Oreochromis niloticus: one gene and its partner. The protein of the gene in region 1 interacts with the protein of each later gene in a pairwise test. Links are inferred from orthologs where the notes say so. Each region holds a gene or a part of one and is shown on either strand. Other genes may lie near its edges. The genes, in order: rcc1l and nme6.

Evidence for each region.
Region 2: the proteins of rcc1l (region 1) and nme6 interact in binary tests that used the Homo sapiens proteins (3 or more experiments, as listed by UniProt). The link is inferred for Oreochromis niloticus from reciprocal best matches to the Homo sapiens genes RCC1L and NME6.

What each region holds. Positions count from the first base shown.
Region 1 is NC_031975.2:26,829,629-26,840,201, forward strand, and holds the start of rcc1l (RCC1-like G exchanging factor-like protein), read left to right. Parts: upstream 1-5,855; 5' UTR 5,856-6,065; intron 6,066-6,737; 5' UTR 6,738-6,738; coding exon 6,739-7,023; intron 7,024-7,236; coding exon 7,237-7,366; intron 7,367-9,163; coding exon 9,164-9,292; intron 9,293-10,573. Other genes in the region: transmembrane protein 136, read right to left, coding at 45-592, 2,248-2,437. UniProt on the Homo sapiens protein: Guanine nucleotide exchange factor (GEF) for mitochondrial dynamin-related GTPase OPA1. Activates OPA1, by exchanging bound GDP for free GTP, and drives OPA1 and MFN1-dependent mitochondrial fusion. Plays an essential role in mitochondrial ribosome biogenesis.
Region 2 is NC_031980.2:8,808,763-8,819,241, forward strand, and holds the start of nme6 (nucleoside diphosphate kinase 6), read left to right. Parts: upstream 1-6,651; 5' UTR 6,652-6,957; intron 6,958-7,197; 5' UTR 7,198-7,207; coding exon 7,208-7,300; intron 7,301-8,834; coding exon 8,835-8,937; intron 8,938-9,153; coding exon 9,154-9,193; intron 9,194-9,834; coding exon 9,835-9,995; intron 9,996-10,479. UniProt on the Homo sapiens protein: Major role in the synthesis of nucleoside triphosphates other than ATP. The ATP gamma phosphate is transferred to the NDP beta phosphate via a ping-pong mechanism, using a phosphorylated active-site intermediate. Inhibitor of p53-induced apoptosis.

The DNA of each region.
Region 1 (10,573 bases):
GCACCTTTAGAGCTTTTGAAGCCCTTAAACAGAACATTAGCTTTTCATTCACTCTTGTCTGAATGTCCACCCACCTTTTGTCTGTCCACGTCTTTGAGTTTGTGGTTCTCTATCCACCTTTTATACTTAGCCTTGCTTTTCTTGTAGCCAAATCTGGCTATGTCAACCATGAACACCCACGCCAGCCCATACATAACCACTCCACCAAGCTTCATTATCAGTGAAGTCCTAGGAGAGGTGAGCTCGCAGTAAAACATCACCGTGCCGACTCCCACGCGAACAGTGGCAAACAGTAAAATAAAAAGCAGGTCCACCGCGTCGCCCAGCAGGCTGTCGTACAGGCCCACCTGGCGGAGGAACCAGCGGGTCTGCAGCAGGGGATTGGTGATCTCGCTGCCAAAGATGACCCCGCAGGTTTCACAGCCTGAGACTCCCATCAGTAAAGCCAGCAGGATGCCTGCAATACTGGCAGCATGATGTGCAAGCATGACGGGGCCCTCCGTGTGGTAGCATACACACCAACCCATGTCGAAGAAGAAGTAGCCGAGGCACACAGCCAGGGCGAAGCTCTGGAGCTCTGTGTTTTCTGTACCTGGTGGATGGATAAGAAGAAGGTCATCTGTATTTAGTATTTTCTTTATTGGTCAGAGAAACCACCTCAACTAGCTGAAGGCCAATAGGTTAGCAAACACTTGGAGCTGCACATATATAAGAGACAAAGAGTAGCATTAGCATTCATTTAAAGTCATGAATGTGTCCACCTAAAAGGAAAAAATGTTCAATATTCACTTTAATTAAATTTTTTTTAGCTTTGTTTTCATTTCCATCAACTCCTAAGAAACACATGTGATTGTTTAGCTGCTAAATGATCCACTATGTTCACAAGATAGCTGCTAACTTTGTCTGCTTGCTTGCAAAACCAACACAATTAACCAAAAAGACCCCTCCAAAAATGCTGCATCCTTATTTCCTTAATTTATTGCTGGTTTCCTTGCATGCTCAGCCCCACCACAGGGAAGGTGAAGTGGTTGGTGGTTTTATCTTAGATTCCTAATAACAGAATAAATGCTGTATGATAAAGATATTTGCATGCAATGCTGTGTGATACATGCACATGAAAAAATTCTTTAATGCAAATTTAGTGCTTGGAGAAATAACGTGAAGGTGTTTAAAGCATACCGTGGATCTCTGTATACTGCACACTTAAAGGCAAACTGTAAAAAGCTGGTTTATAATGAAGTCGCCTATAAAGCTTTGAGATTATTACTGAAGAGATGCTTCAGTGGAAGGAGTCCTTATATTTAAAGCTGTATCAAGAGATCTCGGGTTTGGAGGCTCAATACTTATGAGAATGAAATCATAGTTTGAATTGTGCTCATTTGGATAAGTCAGGGTTTTTTGGTTAGCAGTATTTTTGAGTGGATCCTGTTTAGCTGACCTCTTTTTATGGGCCCACGTATGTCTTAAAATAACCTACTTACATTTGTTTGTGGTTTTGATATATTTCTTTGTCTTTTTCGGTACCATAAAACCCACTTTTTGGAAAATTACACCTGTACCTGCAGGTTTTTGACTGCTTGGTTCTTTACTGTCTTCATCTTTTGGATGTTCCCTTTACGGGCCACCACAGAGAATCATCTGCCTCCATCTTACCCAGTCCCTAGCTTCTGTTGCACCAGAAGTTCTGTTGTGCTTTTCCTCTTAACCTCCTGCCTGGTACCTCCATCTTCAGCATCCTTTGCCCTACCACATGTACCATCCTGGTACAGCTATTTTTATGTACTTTTATTTTAATTTATTATACCGACCTAAATTCAATCATAATCATTTGTACATTTTTTGAAAAACTGTCTTTAATTCACAAACAGATTAAAACTCTGTGCTTATATTGATTCATTCATGGACTAATTACATTAATCCTTTCACTCAGTGATTAATTAACCGACTTATTGGTTCATTTAATGCAGACCGTGGATGTGTTTCACCTCCATTACCCACCAAACTGATTTGTACTTTACTTTTCATTAAATTTTAAAATATGCTGAACATCAGCACCATGCTGCTGATCCTGTTAACTCTCAGTGAGGACAGTAGACGGCTATAATTAGCACCATTCTGAATTTACATCACACCATGACCAGAAAGAGAGCATAATTAAATTAAATTAAATTAAATTAAATTAAATTAAATTAAATTACTAACTATACTTTGTAACTGCATTGGTAACATGTTTATTGATCCACTGACCTGCATGCGTGAAGGGCCAGGGTCCGTCTACGAAAACAACGTAGGCTGTGAGCAGCACTATGAGGACGCCGTGGGACAACGTGACCAGGCGACAGTTCCACTCGGGTCCCCGCTGAGTGAAGGTGCAGACGAACAAGAAGTAGAGACACAGCCAACCAATCAGGCTGCAGATGACCTCCAGCATCGGCATGGCTGTGTGTTTGGGAAGAACAGACACATCTGAGGTCTTTTACATGAGACTGCATTTAAGAACAAGTCACCAAAAGTGTAAAGCATTGATTTTATATTTGAACATATTTACATACAATATTAGGTTAACCATGTAGATGGATACTGGGTCCATGTAGAGTTAATGGGTTATTTACTCTAATGAAAACAAGCTTATTTGAAACAGTGATGATATAATAAGCTCAAATTTGACTTTAAAGTGTGACACGCTTACTGTCTAAAACAAATTATTTCAGTTTCTTTAAAACGTCACTTTTTTAAAACACTTGTGGGCACCAAGCAGCAAAGGCATACCTGCTGACTAATGACAACACAGCTAAACATGGGTGCCATGATATAAAATGTCAGTCTGTGCATTAATAAAAATACTGAAATTTCCTCATATCTGCGGCTACATTACAGTGTGCTGTAAACTCTGTGTTAACCAATCGGTAACAAGCAGGTTTTAAAGGAGCTAGATTTGGAAACAAAACCAACCTTAATATAAAATGATTTTATGCAATAATGCACCTGTGGCTGCTGGGTATTGTTGACCAAAGTACGTCTCCATACTCTGAAATAGAACAGTCATGCCGTGGTTTACCTTAACTCCTCCTCCTCTCAGTCGTCCTCACGTTCAGGATGCTTGTAGATATGGACTCCATCACTGAGGTAGCCTCAGCCTCCATCACTGTTTACACATAAAGCCTCCATCAAAGTGCTGTCAGCTCAGCATTTTTTTTAATGGACACATGTTCACTCGGCCAAGATGACAGATATGCCATGTGCAGGCTACTATGGACAGTTAGTGGATCCTGTTTCCCTTCCCCCTGGAAGTCAGACTTGATCCTCTTAAAGGATTACAGCCTCCACTTCTCTGCACATACCTGCTTTTGGACAGGGCGGGTGATACAAGGCTGCAGAGCAGCACATGCATCATAGTAAAGTAACACAAAACTGAAGTTAGGACCAGTCCTCTTTGAGCTCTGGACTGGTTTTGTGACTTTTAAAAGCTGTTTTGTCCAATTAATCCTGCTGATTTCACTGGTCTTTAATTGTAAAATGTCTTTTGTTTGTCTTTTAATTTAGCTCCCATATGTCAGCGTTTCCCCCCATACTATGCCCCACTGTTTACCCACTTTAAATCCATCACTCAACATTTTTAAGTCTTACCTGTTTGGGATGATGCCTGTGCTCTAAAAGTAAAATGAAGCTTAAAAAAGGTGAAAATGTTGCAAATCTGGTTTTACGTGAACTGGAATTAAAAAGAAGACATGCACAGGGTTAACTGGTGATTCTAAACTTCCTGGGGGAATGTGAGTGTGAATGGCAAGACGGGTTAAGTGACTGAACTGTTTAGTGGATGCTCGGATGGGTGGATGGTAGAATTGTACAATTATGTGAACGGCAGTATTTCAGATACAGCTCCACCTGCATAAAACAAAAAAACTGTCACAGCCTCTCCTTACTTTACAGCTCCTCCTATGACACCTGGACTATTTTTAGTAGAAATGAACTGCACATAGTAATGTTTTACTTTGAAGTTAAGTGAGCCTATCCAATTTCTTCTTCTTCTTCTTCTTCCGCCTAAAATCTCGTCTCACAGCTTTGAGAAAACTCCCACATATGTTACATCATTTCGTGCGGCCCATTCGGGAATAGTGTGATGTGACTTTTGGTAGCGATTTGTCATGGTTTTTGTGAAATTCCCAAAATACTTCAGAATTTTTCCCCATTCAAAAAGATCACCAACCCAGGCCACTTTGGAGCCCACTTTTCAATACGGATCTTTGTGCTTTCGTTTTTGTCCCCAGTTGTTTTGAGCAAGAGTTTTTTTTAGGTGTTCTTCAGGCATTTTCTGGCTGCATTGCTACTCCCTGTAAAGTTGTTTCTCTATATGTATCTCGATGGGCACTGGTCTGTTTTTATTAATTTTTGCCATCCTGTGCATTTTATCAGCACTTTAAACTGCCTTCCACATAAATAGGACACTGATTGAAAATAAAGACTCTTGCATGATGCCAGACATAAAAACAGAATGGGGATAATTTAGAGGAGGCAGACTGATATGTGTGATACTGCAGGATTAGAGGCCAAAATCTGTGATGTAATGAGCAGATGACACACCAGACCTCGTTGCTGATGTGGACATTGCAGACTCTGTCCATACTGTGTTGACATAACAGCAGATGCCACAATATGTCCTTCTGTAAAATGGTTAATTTCATGGACATATTGATGATTAAGTCACTAATGCTTGTATTTTAAAATTAGTGGTAAATAAAACTGCACTCAGGGTAGTTAGAAAACCCTCCAAACATTTCAGAAGAGGGGAGTGTGCGCTCTGAGGGCAGGTGGTTGATGCAGGTGGGTGAGTTACATATAGAAAATTTTCACAGCAGCACCGAGGCCAGAAGTTTTCACATGTGACCCTCCAGGCATTTCATTCACCTCCGCTACGGCAGGTTAATACCCTGTGAGGCGAAGGTCGGGTGCTCACCTGACAGCTCTGCAGCATTAACCCACTTACAGATCAGCTCTAATCTGACACCCGAGTAGATTATCGGCTAGGAAGGTAAAGCTATAACAGATATTATTACTCTATCACATTGTTATGCTACTTTCCTAACAGTGAGCACATATACAGGTGCTGAATTAGCCAGGAAAGTGTAGACAGCCTGGACACAATTATAATACTATGTTGATGTAATTTGATTGGCACAAATGATATTGAACAACATAATATAAATATGATCCAGAGAAGCTAAATATAGATTAGTACCAGCTTAATTCAAAGGAATATGTTTTACATCTTCCAGCAGTCATTTTTTTATTACTTTATGGTCACTTTGCATTTCATAGTTGTTCTTCCCTCCTTTGATTGCATCATTTTCTCTCTTTGCAGTGATTTTGCTTGTGTTTTCTCTAACTTCTGTCATATCTGTGTCATTTCTATCATATTGTAATCTTTTGCATGTCTTTGGCCATTTTGCATCTCTTTTGAGTCTTTTCTTCCTCTTCTCAATTCTTATTGAAGTTGTTTTGTGTCTTTCCAGGCTGTTTGATATTGCTTACTTTGATTTGTGGAAACTTGATTGGCTTTCAAAGTCCTTTTGACTTATACAAATCTATCTACTCCATTGTTAGGTTTTACAGCTTTAGTTATGTATTATTTTATAGTCAAAACAATAAATCTTCTAATAAATTATGCTGTTTTATTGTAGACACAGCTAGGCAGAGTTATATAAGTCATTCAGGTCATCTCCAGCTACAGCATTAAAATGATTTACACATATTTCCTGCCATTCATTAATCTGTTCACCTTCGCTGTAGAGCGCGCTTGGAGCTCCAGGGCAGCAGGCGGCGCTGTTGTTGTATTCTTAAAGGCGAACAGACGTGACGGAAGAGCGTCCTTCTGCATCCTGGGTTGGAGAAAGTTAACCTAAACAAACATGGAATAACGGCCCTGAAACATTTTCCTATAATTTCACCTGGAAGTCATCATTTCTGTAGAGCACGAGTGAGTTTCTCAGCATTATAAAATGCGGGTCTAACTGGAAGAGAAGGCAAATTTACCCCGGCTCAGTGGCTGCTGTTGGAAAGAACACGAGGTGAAACTCCCTTCAAATTTAACGTAATTTTAACTACCTTTCCGCAGCGTCAGATGTACAATCTGATAAGATTAATCATAAATGCCTTATGCAAATCCTTATAATCCGTTTTTCAAATCGGGGTTGATTACGAAGACTTAGTATTAACTGTTTTTAATGTAATTTAACCCAAAATGGATGCTCACGAGTCCCTTATTACGCCTGTTTTAATGTGGGATAGCTAACGTTAAATTGTTAACCGAGGCATAAATTACATTTAATCAAAGCTACTGTGGATCAGGTGCATGCCGAAGTTACTGCTAGGCTTTAGCCTTTTATATAAAAACTTAAAAGTCTCCTAGTATTGTGTGCGTAGTTTTGTAAAACCACAGAACATCTAATTTGATAGAAAATGTAAATGAAATGTGGCAGTGTGGTTTTTTTTTCCCCCTACACATTTAAAAAAAAAAAAAGCACATTTTGATAAAACAAAAATATATTTTTATTGTTTTGTAAAGGCAATTTAAAAAGTCTGATATATTTAAATGGAAAAGTAAAGAATTTTTTTTTTTTTTGAATTAAAGAACAGTTAATGTGGCTTATCATTACAATATTAAATGTCAGTATAGTTGGGTTAAACAACCACATCAACTTCATCTTGATTGTTTTCCCTGTTCCTGCTTTTTTCTACAGGATGGCTTTTCCCTCTGTGCGACTGTGTCCCCGCCACATGAGAGCAGGCCTTCAAGTCTGTTGGTATGCAACACTCAGCAAAGCATCCAGACCCCAGGAGAAGAGTGGCAGTGATCCGGTCTTCCAGTATGTCGGCCAGCACAAAAAGCCAACCCATAAAGTGTTTGTCTGGGGCTTCAGCTTCACTGGTGCACTTGGCATCCCTACCTTTGTAGTCCCAGACAGCGGCAGGAAAAAGCCCCGCAAATACCAGCTTACTCCTTATCGCTTGGAGACTGCAGAACAGGTAAAATCTGCCGGCACTATGAGAGTCTGAGTCTTATGGGTTGAGCTTTTAAAGATGTATAAGATAGTAATTGTTATTTAGGTGTAACTTCATAAAATATCAGTCAAATCAGGTAAACTGCTGCCGCCAGTCATACCTATGTCGACAAACCATTTTATATGTGTTAAGAGAGTTTTGTAAAGCTAAACTTGCTTTCTGCTGCTGCTGTTGCAGATCTCCTCTGCTGCCTGTGGTTACGGTTTCACTCTCATCGCGTCTCCAACCAAAGATGTGACCAAATTGTGGGGCATGGGCCTGAACAAAGATTCTCAGTTGGGCTTTCAGCGCACCCAGCACGACCGCCGTAAGACAGAAACTAAACTATTTATTTCTTTAAAGATAGTTTAAAGAACTTTGGATGTGAAAGAAGAATGGATATTGGACCCGTCAGGTGATGGCGATGCTAGGCATTGTCTGTATAAATAAGATGGCCATCACCAGTTGGTATGTTACTGTTTAAAGCCTTTTTTGAAGTTTGTTTTTTGGGAAGAATAGATGTACAAGAGAATACATGTGAACTGTATAGCAAGGAGGGACATAGCTTCTGGGCCTGCAAACTAGAGCCAGAGTCCCTTAAACCTGTGTTCTTTCTAATGGCCAGCAGGGGGCAACTACTGTCTGCAAAAAGAAGTGGAAAGAAGAGCAAAGAAGTACCCCAGAAATTAGGATAACGTTTACACAACTAAGGTGTCCAGTTAAGACAAATGCTGGAGGTTAAATAGGTTATACTGGGTCACATGATCCAAATGCTTAGTAGACACTCTTCTAATGTGTTTGTGTCTCAATCACTAGTTCCAAGACTTACTGAATAAAGCATGGTGTTCATTTTGTAAATTATGTTCCCCATGAGAGTCACCAAAAACTTTCTGGCTTCAACAGTTTTGCTTCTCATTCACTGAAAGCTGCCAGAAATCAATTGAATGCTCCCACTGATTTCCAAAGAGAGGCTGTCTTGAGCAAGGGAGCTGGTATCTTGGGATCTTATGCATAATTGTGACCGGAACGTGGAGCTTGCGTTGGTATCGGAGTGTTGTGGTAAAGGGATAGCTCTACTTGAAGGGGAGGCGTTCGATGTACCCGTCCATCTACGTCCCAACCCTCACCCATGAATGTAAGCAGCTGAAATTAGTCATAGTTTGACGAGCTCTGATGTTTGGAGGGATCCCTGAATAGAGCCGCTACTCCTGCGTGTTCATTAGGAAGCCTCATGGAGCCTTTCATTTGGAGGCTTTCTGGGCACATCAGTTGGGTGAAGACCCCCAACCTGCTGGTGCGATTGTATATCTCGTCTGGTCTAGGAACACCTCAGAATCCCCCAGAAGGGACTGGAAAGTGTGGATAGAGAGAAGGACGTCTAGAATACCCTGCTTAGCCTGTTGTCAGCTTGACTTCGGATAAGTGGAAGATAATAGTGCCAGCACCGGCAATAACCATACAAACACCTGCACAAGGCCCTAGTACAGCGGTTTGCTAATGAAATCATGATATGCAAATATCCAGACAGTGTGAGGGGGTGCTTTTGCAGTTTGGCATTAAAATAAAATAAAAGTTGATCATTGCAGTGAAAGTAACGGGTAATAAAAGCTATCCTACCGTGCCCTGTGATAAGAGCGCCAGCAAAGAGGAGGCTTTTTAAAGATTTCTTTGCTTCTGTTCTTCTACTCCTGCACCGGCGCTAATATATCGGGTCGATCTGAGTGGCGAATACTGCAGTAAGTGCCCACGCCCTCTTTAACAGTGATGTCACTGTTTTTACGTTATAAGACCATTGCAGCAACCATAATCGGCTCTCTAGGGTTACATTTGTCAGTCAAAGCTGCCAAGTGGCTGTAATGTGTAATTTGGAAAACTAAAGTGGTAACCTGCCATAAACTATATCCATCCTTTATGTATCTATAAGGGTATATATCTATCCCATATAGTCTATGGGATAGAGCTGAGGAGTGGTCTTCTTGTGTTAGCACGAGGATATGTTCGGAGTGTGTGTTTCTTCCATGTGTCACATTCCATTTCACAGTGTTTCTCTAACAAGTTTATATTAATATTATTTAAGGAGTATCACTGCTTTTTGTTCATGTGTCGTCTCGCCCTGTTCGTGTAGATAAGAGCTACGACTACGTGTTGGAGCCGTCGCCGGTGGCCCTGCCTCTCGTCGAGCCTCTGCAGACCAGAGTGGTTCAGGTTGCATGTGGACGGGCTCACTCTCTGGTCCTCACTGACCGAGAGGGAGGTAAGAGACGCACGCTTCCCGCACCAGCCTAAATCCAAACACACAAAAAGCTGCGGAGCATGTCGTCCCCCTGTAGAAACCTTTCAGCCACCTGTCGCACCATGTGTCCTTTTACATCATCCACCCACCGCCAACCAAAAATGAATCATTATCAGGCAGCTGTTACAGCTCATGCAGAAAGCTCATTAAGGTCTTCTGGTACATTCAGTAAATTAGCAGACTGATGTTCCAACAAGCTAATTTGTGAAAAGGCTTTTCGCCACTTTTTGTTGCCAGCCAGAATCTTTTTTTTCTTTCTGTTTTTTAATTTAAATGGGCTTTTATTGTGTTTTGCTAAATTGCAGAGTGCTTTGTTGTGATGTTGTTTTAACTGGTCGTAATTTGCTGGTAGAAATTTACTCCAAAGATTTGTGAGGCTAGTTTCTGACAAAAGAAAGATGTGTCACGGCTAACACACAGTGCGATCTACTGCGGTGCATTGTTTTAAAGGGTACTGCAGCTGATATTTTAGATTTTTCTGATATGAGTATTTATGCAGTTATCTAAATTACTTGTATTTTAAGTGGCCACCAAGTGATAAAAACAGCATGTATGAAATCATCCTGCAGGTTATGTTTCTGCTGTCCTTGATATCGCCTGTATGACCAAAACATGGTGCACCCGTGTGCAGAGCATACAAAAGATTTTAAGGTGGCGTTTAATTCTGCAGCTGAAGTTAGCCAGGCAGCTGTTCTGTTAAGCTCAAACTATCTCTTTTTTTAAACCTTAGTTTAAACAGCATAGCAGATTGTTGTTGCTGCTAAATGTAATCATAGTATTAAAGTCACTAATCTTACAGCTTTTCATGACATGTACTGCAGAGTCCATTAAAGCTTTTAAAAACAAAATGGCATTTATCACCCTTTATCTAAAACACTTTGAGCTTCTCAGGTGTTTCTTATTTATTTGAGAATCAGTTTTTATTGAGGTAGAGTGGGACACATGCAATGTATTGTTATATAATATGATGTCTAAAATTAATTAAATTTACACAAAAATAGGATAATTGAAATGTTTTATAAATAAATTAAACAATTAAATTCAGTACAGTTTTATGTATATAGTGCCGAATCACATCAACAGTCACCTCACAAGGTGGCTTATGTTGTATAGTAAAGACACTACAATAATACAGAGAAAATCCCAACATTCAGTGTCCCTGTTTGAGCAAGCACTTTGGTGACAGTGGGAAGGAAAAACTCCCTTTTAACAGGAAGAAGCCTCCGGTAGAACCAGGCTCAG
Region 2 (10,479 bases), on another chromosome or scaffold:
ACAGCTGATCACTGTCACATACTGGCTCACAGGCCGGGGCTTTGCCAGCGAACGCTCTCATCTAATCATCTGTTTCTCCTTCATCATGTGTCATGCATCATTCAGAAGAGCTCACCTTACCCTCTGATTTTTTTTTCATCTGTCTACACCTCTTCTGTTTTTTTCTTTATTTGACTTCCAGTCATCCAGTCTGGTGATCCTTTATACTTCCAAAACTCACTGTAAACATGGACAGTGGATGACAGGATTTTGACTTGTTCACCAATTTTGAGATCAATTAAATCAACATGGGGGAAAGTCAGTGATGGGGCTTAAGTGCCCGAGCTGCATGTTATCTTCAAATCGGGCTAGGGAGGTTATTTTTAACTACCGTTCACATACCGGGGCCCCCGTTTGCTAATCACTTTGTTCCCCTCTGTCATACCCATCTGCCCTGCTGCCAATGTCCCACTGCTTCTGGGGAGGTCAAAACACACTTCACTTGGCAGGAGGAAATAATTTCCCTCAGGACACCAGACAGGAGCTTTGAATGATGAACTCCAGAGCAGTTTCTTCAACAGCAGATAATATGGAATTCTATTGGTATAAATAAAGTGGCAGCTGACACCAGACCAGATCTTGGACATGCACACGGAGTGACCCCCACCTCTTCTGGCAGGAAAGCTCCTGTAGGAGGTGGTGGTGGGAGGTGGTGGGAGGTGGGGGGGGTGGGGGGGGGGGTGGAGGGTTGACAAATAACTTAATAACGTCATAAGAAATAACTTAGAAGTAAGACTAAAACTGTGATTTGAGATGGTAAAGAATGGCATCATGGCAACAGATAATAGCTTAAAGTGTCTAAAAACATTTGCACACATTTTTTTATGTATTCTAAAGGCACACTAAAAAGATTAGGAGCTGGCCTAGTTGAAAAAGCAATAGTGAGCTGCTTAATCCTGACAATGGTAAGACAGTACTGTGCTGCTGACTCATTACGTGGTCTGATATTAATGGCGCTCTCTGTCCTTCCCTGGGCACAGCAGTTGCCAGCATCGAGGTTGACACAGCTGCCAAAGGAAGCCCGGTCCGTGTGGTGAAGCAATGGAGCAGAAAGGTCAAAGGTCAGCAGCATTTATGCTGAAAGAGAGAACAGGTGATGGAGAGGTGAAGGAAACTCGCCCACATGACTCAAGGAGAGGACAGAAGGATTTAAACGGATACTCTGAGGCTGTGAGATTTAGGACTGAGGAAATGCAGCAGTTGGTGACATCAGTGTCTTTATTGTTTGGTGTTTGGTTAGAAAACAGCAAACAGTTTTCATTTCATTTCACCAACACAGAGAAAAAAGCTTGTTATTAATGTGGCACCCTAAGTAATTCAATTCAAGTCAGTTTTATTTATATGGCACCAAATCACAACAGCAGTTGCCTCGAGGTGCTTGGGATTGGGCTTCGGTCTGTTACTGAAGCCACCCAAAGGTGCCAAAACAGGAAACACATCCCACACTTTTCTCACCAGCCCGACAGTTAGGACATGAAAGGGTTCTGGGTGTTACACTGGAGCCTGTGTCACCCTAGAAGGGCCTACTGAGGTGACACGTGAGGTCTGATTTTGGACGATAGCAGGGGACAAATTAAGTACAATTTTATTAAACGATCATATTCACCGTGCTATTGTGCCAAAGCATGGTATGATGTTTTGGGAGCTCAATTACATAATGGCAATGACAGGCTGAAATGACTTCGCAGGCAGGCATATCTAACTGCTAATATTAAAAATCATAGCATCTATTATACAGTGCTTAAAATGTCTATTAGATCACCACCCAATTTAAGGTTTATGCCACAGTTTTCCTAATTAATAGTATTAGTAATTACTTAAATAATTTTTTTGAATGTTTCTGTAAAGGTTTAATCCACCAGTATGTGCCAGCTCTTTAATCAAAATGATGTGTTGAGTGCTAAAATGTAACTATTGTTGTTAACCACGAATTTTCAAATTGACTGTTTGACAAAATTTTTTTAGTTTTTGATTAAGATGCCAAATTATATTTATTTATTTGCATTCCTGAACAGAAAAATCTGTTTTAGGGGTTTCTGAAAAACATGATTTCAGGTTTTAATTCTGCCTAATAAATACAACTATGATTTTTTTAAACAAGTTTTTATCATACTTGGTCTAATACATTTGTTAAACACTGTCATATAGAGTAAGAGTCTTTCAAATAATAACTGGATCACATTGTGAATGTTTCTTGTCATAGAAACCAATACCTGAAGGCGAAAAGTATGTGACACCATACATCCTCCTGTGTATCGATATACAGTATGTGTGTATATAAATAGTGAAGCAAACTGTAGATCCATATTAAGATACCGATTACTGCGGTCAAAAGGGGCAGTTTCATTTTCACTGTAGTAAATCAGATGGAATTTTTACTAAATGCCTCACTGTAGAGGATAATAAAGGGTAAGATATTAAACTGTTTCTTGTTTAGGCTCATTATTTCCTCGTGAAATTTCCTAAACTGAACCATTCAGTTTGGATAAGGTTTAACAACATTGTTTAAAGGTGATTTTATAATAAAGGATTTTTTCTCATCTGAAGACAAACCTGACTTGTTTTCTTTTTTATTAATGTTCAACTTCCAAAGAGTTCAGTGGAATTGATTCTTTTCAGGGAATAACGATTGGCATATTACACATTCCTTTCCTGAGCCTTCTTGTGCATGTACAGCTGTCAATGCCTTCCTGTAACACAAGCAAACTTACAGTATTTTATACTGTAAGTACCAGTCAAACAAAGAAAATGTTATTTATGAGGCAACATGTGTGAGCTATTACAGAGACAGCAGACATATAACTATGTTGTGTATGTAATACATATTTAGTTTATTTTAATATTTATTTAAAACAACATATGCATTATTGTTGATAAAACAACCAAGTCTTTCAGAGGAACAGAAATCATCAAGTGCATGAATTAAAACCATTAAAAAAAAGGACTTGATATAAAAATGACACAGCCTAAAAATTAAAAGAATAACAGGATAATAATTAAAACCAGCAAGAGGGCAGTAAAAATATAACACATTTAGTTTAAAACCAATAAAATAAGCAGACATTCAATCAATCAATCAATAACTGACACTCTTTTTAAACAGTGTAACTACATAAAGATACTGTGCACATTTCCATCACAGTTGGTCATGACAAAAGCTCCGTTTTTCCTCACATTAAACATTCCTCCCTAACATGTTTTCACGTGATACTTTGCGGTGGCTCCTGGCAAAAGAATGAGCAGCCTATGGACACCCAAGCACCCATGGGGGTCGTGAGTAAGTCAGTTGTCAGTTGACTCCCACCAAAAGGGAATGACAACTGCATGAGAGCCAGAAGCAAGGGAAGGAAGAGAAGCAAGAGAAGCAACAGCAGCAGGGGCACGGAGATGAAACAGAGATGAGTTTTATGGTGGTCAACGAGTGGAGGATCAGCTGAATCAGCCGACCAGCTGAGAACGCTTGAAGTGAGAGTCAGCAGTGAGCATCAATGATGCCTGATGCTGATGGACACTTGGACAGAATGCTGATGATTCTGTCCAAGTGTTGTGCTCTACCCTCTAAAAACTGCTTTTCAGGAAGTTTGGTGTACTTTTCAGTGACTGCTCCTCAATACATCATCTGCAGAGATGCTGAGCGGACACAGCTAGAATTGGAAGGAGCCCTTTGTAGGAAAAAAAAAGAGCCTTTAACATTAACATGTAACAAGTTATTTCATATTAAGGCAATAACAATTTCAAGATTAAAACAAACACTATTTTTTAACACTTCTGAGCAGTTTTTGTATATAAATGGCAACAATATATTATTTTTACCATTCCAAATTGCAATTATGATAGTCTGGCTTAAAAAGAAATACAAGAATGACTGATGTTTAAAAAAAAGTTTAATATTTAAAAACTATGTTTCCTGGAAAAGACGCTGGTGTTGTGTAAATTTAATGCTGCTTATATTAAATGGATAGTATGAAGCTCGCAGTATCTCCATAACCAGACAGTTCAGCCATATCAACTAATTTGGGGGATGTGAGGTCCTAAAAGTATTTCAGGTTTTCCCATCGATTGAAATGTTGCCAGTTCCCTAAAAAGTGGTTTTCTACTGTAGTCAACTGTTGACTGCTGGAAACCAGATAATAAAATTCTTGCTGGTGTTAAATGTGCACTTATTAGTACAAGATCAAAGGGCGACTAGGGTACTTTTGCATGTAAAACTGAGCTACCCTTACATGTATTGACTCCTTCCACTTGTAATACTTGCTAATATGGTGCTGACTGCCAATGTGATTATTAAATTTTGCTGATTAAAAATGTACAGGATATCTGTGTAAGCATGGCTGAACAGCTACATTTTATCCTGTCATGTTAAGCTTTGATTTGATATCATGATGCCTTAGACCAGGGATGCCACACTCATTTTACATTGAGGGTTACTTTGATATTAAGTGGGCCAGAGGAGTGAAACTGCACTTTCTGTCAGTGTAAAGACATTTAGCGACATATTTAATCCCAGAGATATCTTGATATGAGATGAAGTGTAATTTCAACAGCACATCTCAGTTTCTATACATGATCAATTTTCTTGTAGCTCACTGCTCAGACTGTCCTATATTTATAATACATAAAGTTTTTTGTTGATTGATGAAATTTCTATAATCCACAATGAAAAACATAAACTCTTCTGTCATTTTATTGTTTATCTATTACATATCTACTTTAGTGTAGTATGAAAGCTTCCAGGGGAGAGCTTTATCAGCAGGAAAAAGCTGTAAAACCTATTAAAATATAGTTAAAAGTACAAAAGTTAATGCACTTGTTCATATTTTCCAAAGTCATCGAATGGGCCCAACTGGAATCTTCGCTGAGCGGATTTTGACCCTCACACCTTACGTTTGACACCCTACCTTAGACAAATTCATAAGTGTAAAAAATACAAAATAACCTGTATTTTGTGTCACTCAGCAACAGTATTTCATTTCCAATTTATTTACAGCAAAGCAAATGATCATAAAATAGCACAACACCCTCACATAACTTTCATATCCAAGATTCTTTTCTCTCACGTCTTCCTAACGATTGAGTTGAACGCCTTTATTGTCAGTGGAAGATGTGTATGTATATGTATGGATTGTAAAGCCAATAAAAACACAAAAACTACAGGTTACATAGAATTTGGGTCTTCAGTCTGTACTCTTAAAATATATCCAATTTAACTCTGCACCTCTTCTTATCCTCTTCAGCCCTCTCATGGGAGGTAACAGCTGTCCTGTCACCCCAAGTCACATGACATGGGCAGGTGGGCGAAACCTATGTGGGACATCTAACTACCCTCCTCCCCCCCATTCTGTCTCTCTGAATGTCAGACACACACACACACACACACACACACACACACACACACACACACACACACACACACACACACACAATCTCTACTCTTCAAGGGTGTGGCCATTTTGCATTGCTGGAATGTGCTCTGTGTTTGTAATTCATACTGTATGTCTGATCTGCCCCAGTGTTGAAATACCAGAGACAAAAATCTGTCTCGTTCCAGTCCCTGCTTGTAGCCGGTGTGCTGCTGAACTCGACGTCTCGGTTTTATGTTCAAACATTCTCGCTCACTTTGATGTGCTGGGAAATTTCTCTATATCGATCGTCTATATCACATACTTGGAACTGCTACTCCTTTGCTGATAATTTGATCTTTGTGACATGGAGTGTTATTTCTACATTAACAATACTCAGGCATGCTGTGGCTTTTTTGCAATGCTTAGTTGGTACTAAAGTGTTCCAAGAAAATATCTCCCACATCATTATACTGTTTACACTGAACAGTTCATATAAAGAATTATGGATCCATGCTTTTGTGTTATTTACATCAAATTCTGACACTGCCTTCTGACCAGGTGACATTTTTTCATTTTTCTATTGTCCAGTTTGGTTGAGCCTGTTAGAATTGCAGCTGCAATTTCCTATTCTCAGCTGACAGGAGTGTACCCGGTGCGGTCTTCTGCTGCTCTAGGTCATCTGTTTCAGATTTCAATGTGTTGTGTGTTCAGATCTTCGGCAGATCTTGGTTGTAACAAGTGGTGATTTGATTACTGTTGCCTTCCTAACAGCTCGAAGCAGTCCAGTCATTCTCTTCTATTCTGAAATCAATGAGCTATTTTTACAGAGAGAATTACTGCTCTATTGCTGCTTCAATAGAGCACCTTTGAATAATGTCTCTTTTTAAGACCATCTTCTTTAAACCCTAGAGATGGCTGTGTGGGACAATCCCAGTATATCAGAGCAGCCCGTCTCGCACCAACACTCATGCTACATTCAAGAATTATGGATCCATGCTTTTGTGTTATTTACATCAAATTCTGACACTGACTTCTGGCCAGGCGACATTTTTCCATTTTTCTAGCGCTCCCATACGGGAACAATAGGAAAGTATTTGTCTCATTCCAGTGCCAAATGCAATAATAAGTGCAGTATACCAGTACTTACGTGTAGTTACGTTCCTATTCTACCTACATGTTATTGTGGAAATCAAGAAAAATAATTCCAAAAAGCTTCTATTAGAACTAAAGTTTATAAGACATGAAATCTCTGTTTTTTCTTCTTCTTCTCGCGGGGGAACAAACTCTGCGGGCACTGTTTCTGGGGACCCTTTTTACGAACGGACAGACCAAGCACCGACTCGTTCAGCTAATTTTCACATTTTAAGCGTTGTTTTTGGTGTAATTGGACGAGCAAGGATGCAGACTATATTCACACCTACAGTTTAGATAACCGCTAACTCAACAAAGTTAAGCGTTTTTATTTGCAACAGTATTTGCACAGCGTTTTTATTTAACAGTATGTCGGCGGCTGTTGCTCTGCTCCCCTTTACAAACTGATTGTTGTTTCTTTTTTTGGACAGAAGTCACAACAGAGGTTAGTATCAGTCACGAACTCAGCACTGACGTGTTGGAAACTGTGTCACGCAGAAAAAGTTCGTATTTTTTTAAATTAATTTTATATGATTTATATTAATGGTAAATTAACGATAAAAAAAAATCGAAAAAGAAGTCGCATCTTCGTTGCTTGTGGTGTTTGTTTTGTATTAATTTAACTAAAAATTTAAGTACTTTAGGCGAGTTGGATCTTATCATTGAGGGCGTATTTTCTGTTCAGTCTTTAGATAATGTTGCTGACAAGTGCTCGCCTGTCCAAAGTGCTGCAGCTCACCCTGGCGGTCATCAAACCAGATGCTGTGGCTCATCCTTTGATGCTAGAGGTGAGCTGCCCTCATGTTTCTTTTAAGTTACAGAATTTAAGACCTAAGATTACACAGCTTAAGTGGTAGTCTGAAAGCTATTCCCAGTTACTCACAGATCAAAAAACTAAACTATCACTTCCTCGTGGCACAGATTCAACAAGGTGCTGCAAACATTCCTCTGAGATTTTGGTTGATATTGACATAATGGCATCACACAGTTGCTGCAGATTTGTTGGCTGTACATTCATGATGAGACTCTCTTGTTCCCCCACATTCCAAAGGTTCTCTCTTGGATTGAGCTCTGGTGACTGGCCATTTGAGTGCAGTGATCTCATTATCTATGTTCAAGAAACCAGTTTGAGATATTTTGAGCTTCCTGAGAGTTGTAATACTCAGACAGGCGGTGGCATTTAAGTGTTGCTCAATTGGTACTAAAAGTGTTCCAATAAAATCTCCCTCATTACACCACCACCATCAGCCTAAACTATGCATACAAGGCAGGATGTATCCATTCGTTCATGTTGTTTACACCAAATTCTGACTCTACCATCCAAGTGTTACAGTAGAAATGGAGACTCATCAGCACCTGATAACATTTTCCACTCTTCTGTTGTCCAGTTCAGGTGAGACTGTGTGAATTGTGGAATCAGTTTCCTGTTCTGGGCTGACAGGGCTGGCACTGATGTGTTTTCTTTTTGCTTGTGTAGCCAATTTGCTTCAAGGTTCAACATGTTGTGAAATTCTCTTGTGCAGACCTTTGTTGTAATGGGCGATTGTTTGAGTCACTGTTGTCTTCCTATTAGCTCAAAGCAGTCTGGCCATCCTCCTCTGACCTCAGGCCCCAACAAGTAGATCATCGGTTTCTGAAATACATCTATTCTGACTGTCTGTTTGTAGTTCAGCAGGTTGTTTTCATCATGTCTACATGTCTAAAAGCATTAACTTGCTGCCATTTGATTGGCTGGTTTGATGAATGAGCAGATGAACAGTTGTACCCAATAAAATGACCAGTGAATGTTATTTTCACTTTTCCAGATTTCAAACATTTGTTGCTCTTTCTCAGGGCATTACAGTTTGCATGGTGTGGTTTAAATACTGTTCCTTATTTGTTTAATCTGTAAAGATTAGTTTTTGGAATTAATGAAGCATAAATGAACACATCTTTCTATTTAATTATGTTTTTTTTTTTAACCCACTGTCAAATAAAACAGCAATTAATTAATTGATGTTATCTGTTCTGATATCAATTTAATTGAGTAGTAAAGAATCGGCATTTGCTCACTTCACAGACCTGGAGGCTTCAAAATCATAGCAGCTGTGTCTATCATAAAATATTCCATCAGTGATAGGTTTAATTTCACTTGTTAATGTGCATTACTTTATTATCATCTCAATTTAAAGAATAAGAGGATGACCTTTTGAATCAGAGCTGTCAATTTTTACCCTTTTCTCTGCAAAAAAATCTACCCACAGTAGGAAAAAGCATATAAAGTTGATCCAGTCATGTTTTGATGCAACTTGGAGGACAAACATGATGATTTCTATATTTCAGGCTCTTCACCAGTTAATTCTAGACAACAACTTTGGGATTGTTAGATGCAAAGATCTGGTCTGGAGACGACAGGACTCTGAGAGGTTTTATGCTGAACATTCAGGTTTGGAAATATTTCATTTGTGTTTAAGCTTTACTTAAATGAGAGAAGTACTGCTGTGGTATATGATGTAACCAAATAAATGAGTCAGCAGCCTATTTTAACAGGGTGCACTGTATGCATGACTGTTAAAAGAAATAAATGTCTTGTCAAATGAAGGATAGCTGTTTTCTCCTTTTTGTTATTGAAGGTCTTTATTTTCTGTTTTACAAATCTCAGGGAGATTCTTCTATCAAAGACTTGTTGAATTCATGTCAAGGTAAGCCTCCATGCTTATATCATGGACACATTTCTTTGACTCCATGTGATTGAGTTACGATTTTATATGTTTGGATGATTGTTGTTGGGTGTTGTATTTTAAATGGAATAATGGATGGAGAGCCATCAGCACCTCCGCTGGTAGTACTCCAATTTCATGCTCAGTAAGGCACCAGTAAACGATTTTCCCAAAACAGCACAACAGGAGTTTCAGTTATCCGTGTTTAGAACACAATTCCCTGGTGCAGTAGCCTAAATATCGCTATGCAGACCACTCACAATACGTCCTCCTGCTGCGAGCCTCAATGGGATTGGTAAAGGTCTTTGTAATTACTTTGTCTTTTTTTTCTCTGCTCACAGCAGTGAAGCAGTAGTTGCTACAGCAACCCTTCTCTGACTGCTGCTATTGATATCGCAAACATAGGAAGCATCTTCAAGTGTGTCAGCCAGTCAAGCTTGATGCCGCACCAGCTGGCATTGTTTAGCTAAAATGGATTTATTTATGGCCGAACTGTCTTCCCAGGAGGTCCTGGGGGCGAATAGATTAGATTTGTATGAAGAGTGGTTTTTTGGTCTGCTATCTAGAAAACATCAGCAATGTTCAAAGTCAAATTCATGACTGCTGTTGAAATTTGTCTGCAGTGGGCCAATGCGAGCGTACATTTTAGCCAGGAAGGATGCCATAAGCCACTGGAGAGAACTGATGGGGCCGACCAAAGTGTTCAGAGCCAGATTCAACTCGCCTGCTTCTATCAGGGGCCAGTTTGGACTCACAGACACAAGGAACACAACTCATGGCTCAGGTAAAAAAGCTCCCAAGCTCCATAATGCTAAAAAAAATTATATGTGTAATGTTAATAATCTATTATTGTGAATATATTATCTTAAACATATGCAAGAGGACATAACTCCTGCGGTTACCAGGTTTACACATCACTAAATTTCACATCTTTTAAAGCCCATCAGTTTCTATAATGGTGTTTGGAGTCATTGGGCAGAAAACAAAATAGTGCAAAACTGTGCAAAACACCTCTTTTCTTTTTGTTTCACTGGAAAATTGGGAAATGGGTGCAATGATTTATTGAAACGTGCAAACATGCATGAAAATATAAGGCAAAAACAGCTTTCTGTAGTTTCAGGAATAGTTCTCCAGGCTTTTTCAAGGACATTCAAAGCTTTTCTTCAGATGTTGGGCTGCTTTTTTCAGTCCTGTGTCAAGATGATCACACACTGCTTCAGTAATGTCGAGTTCTGGGCTCTGGTTCCATTGTGCCCCACTGGCATGCT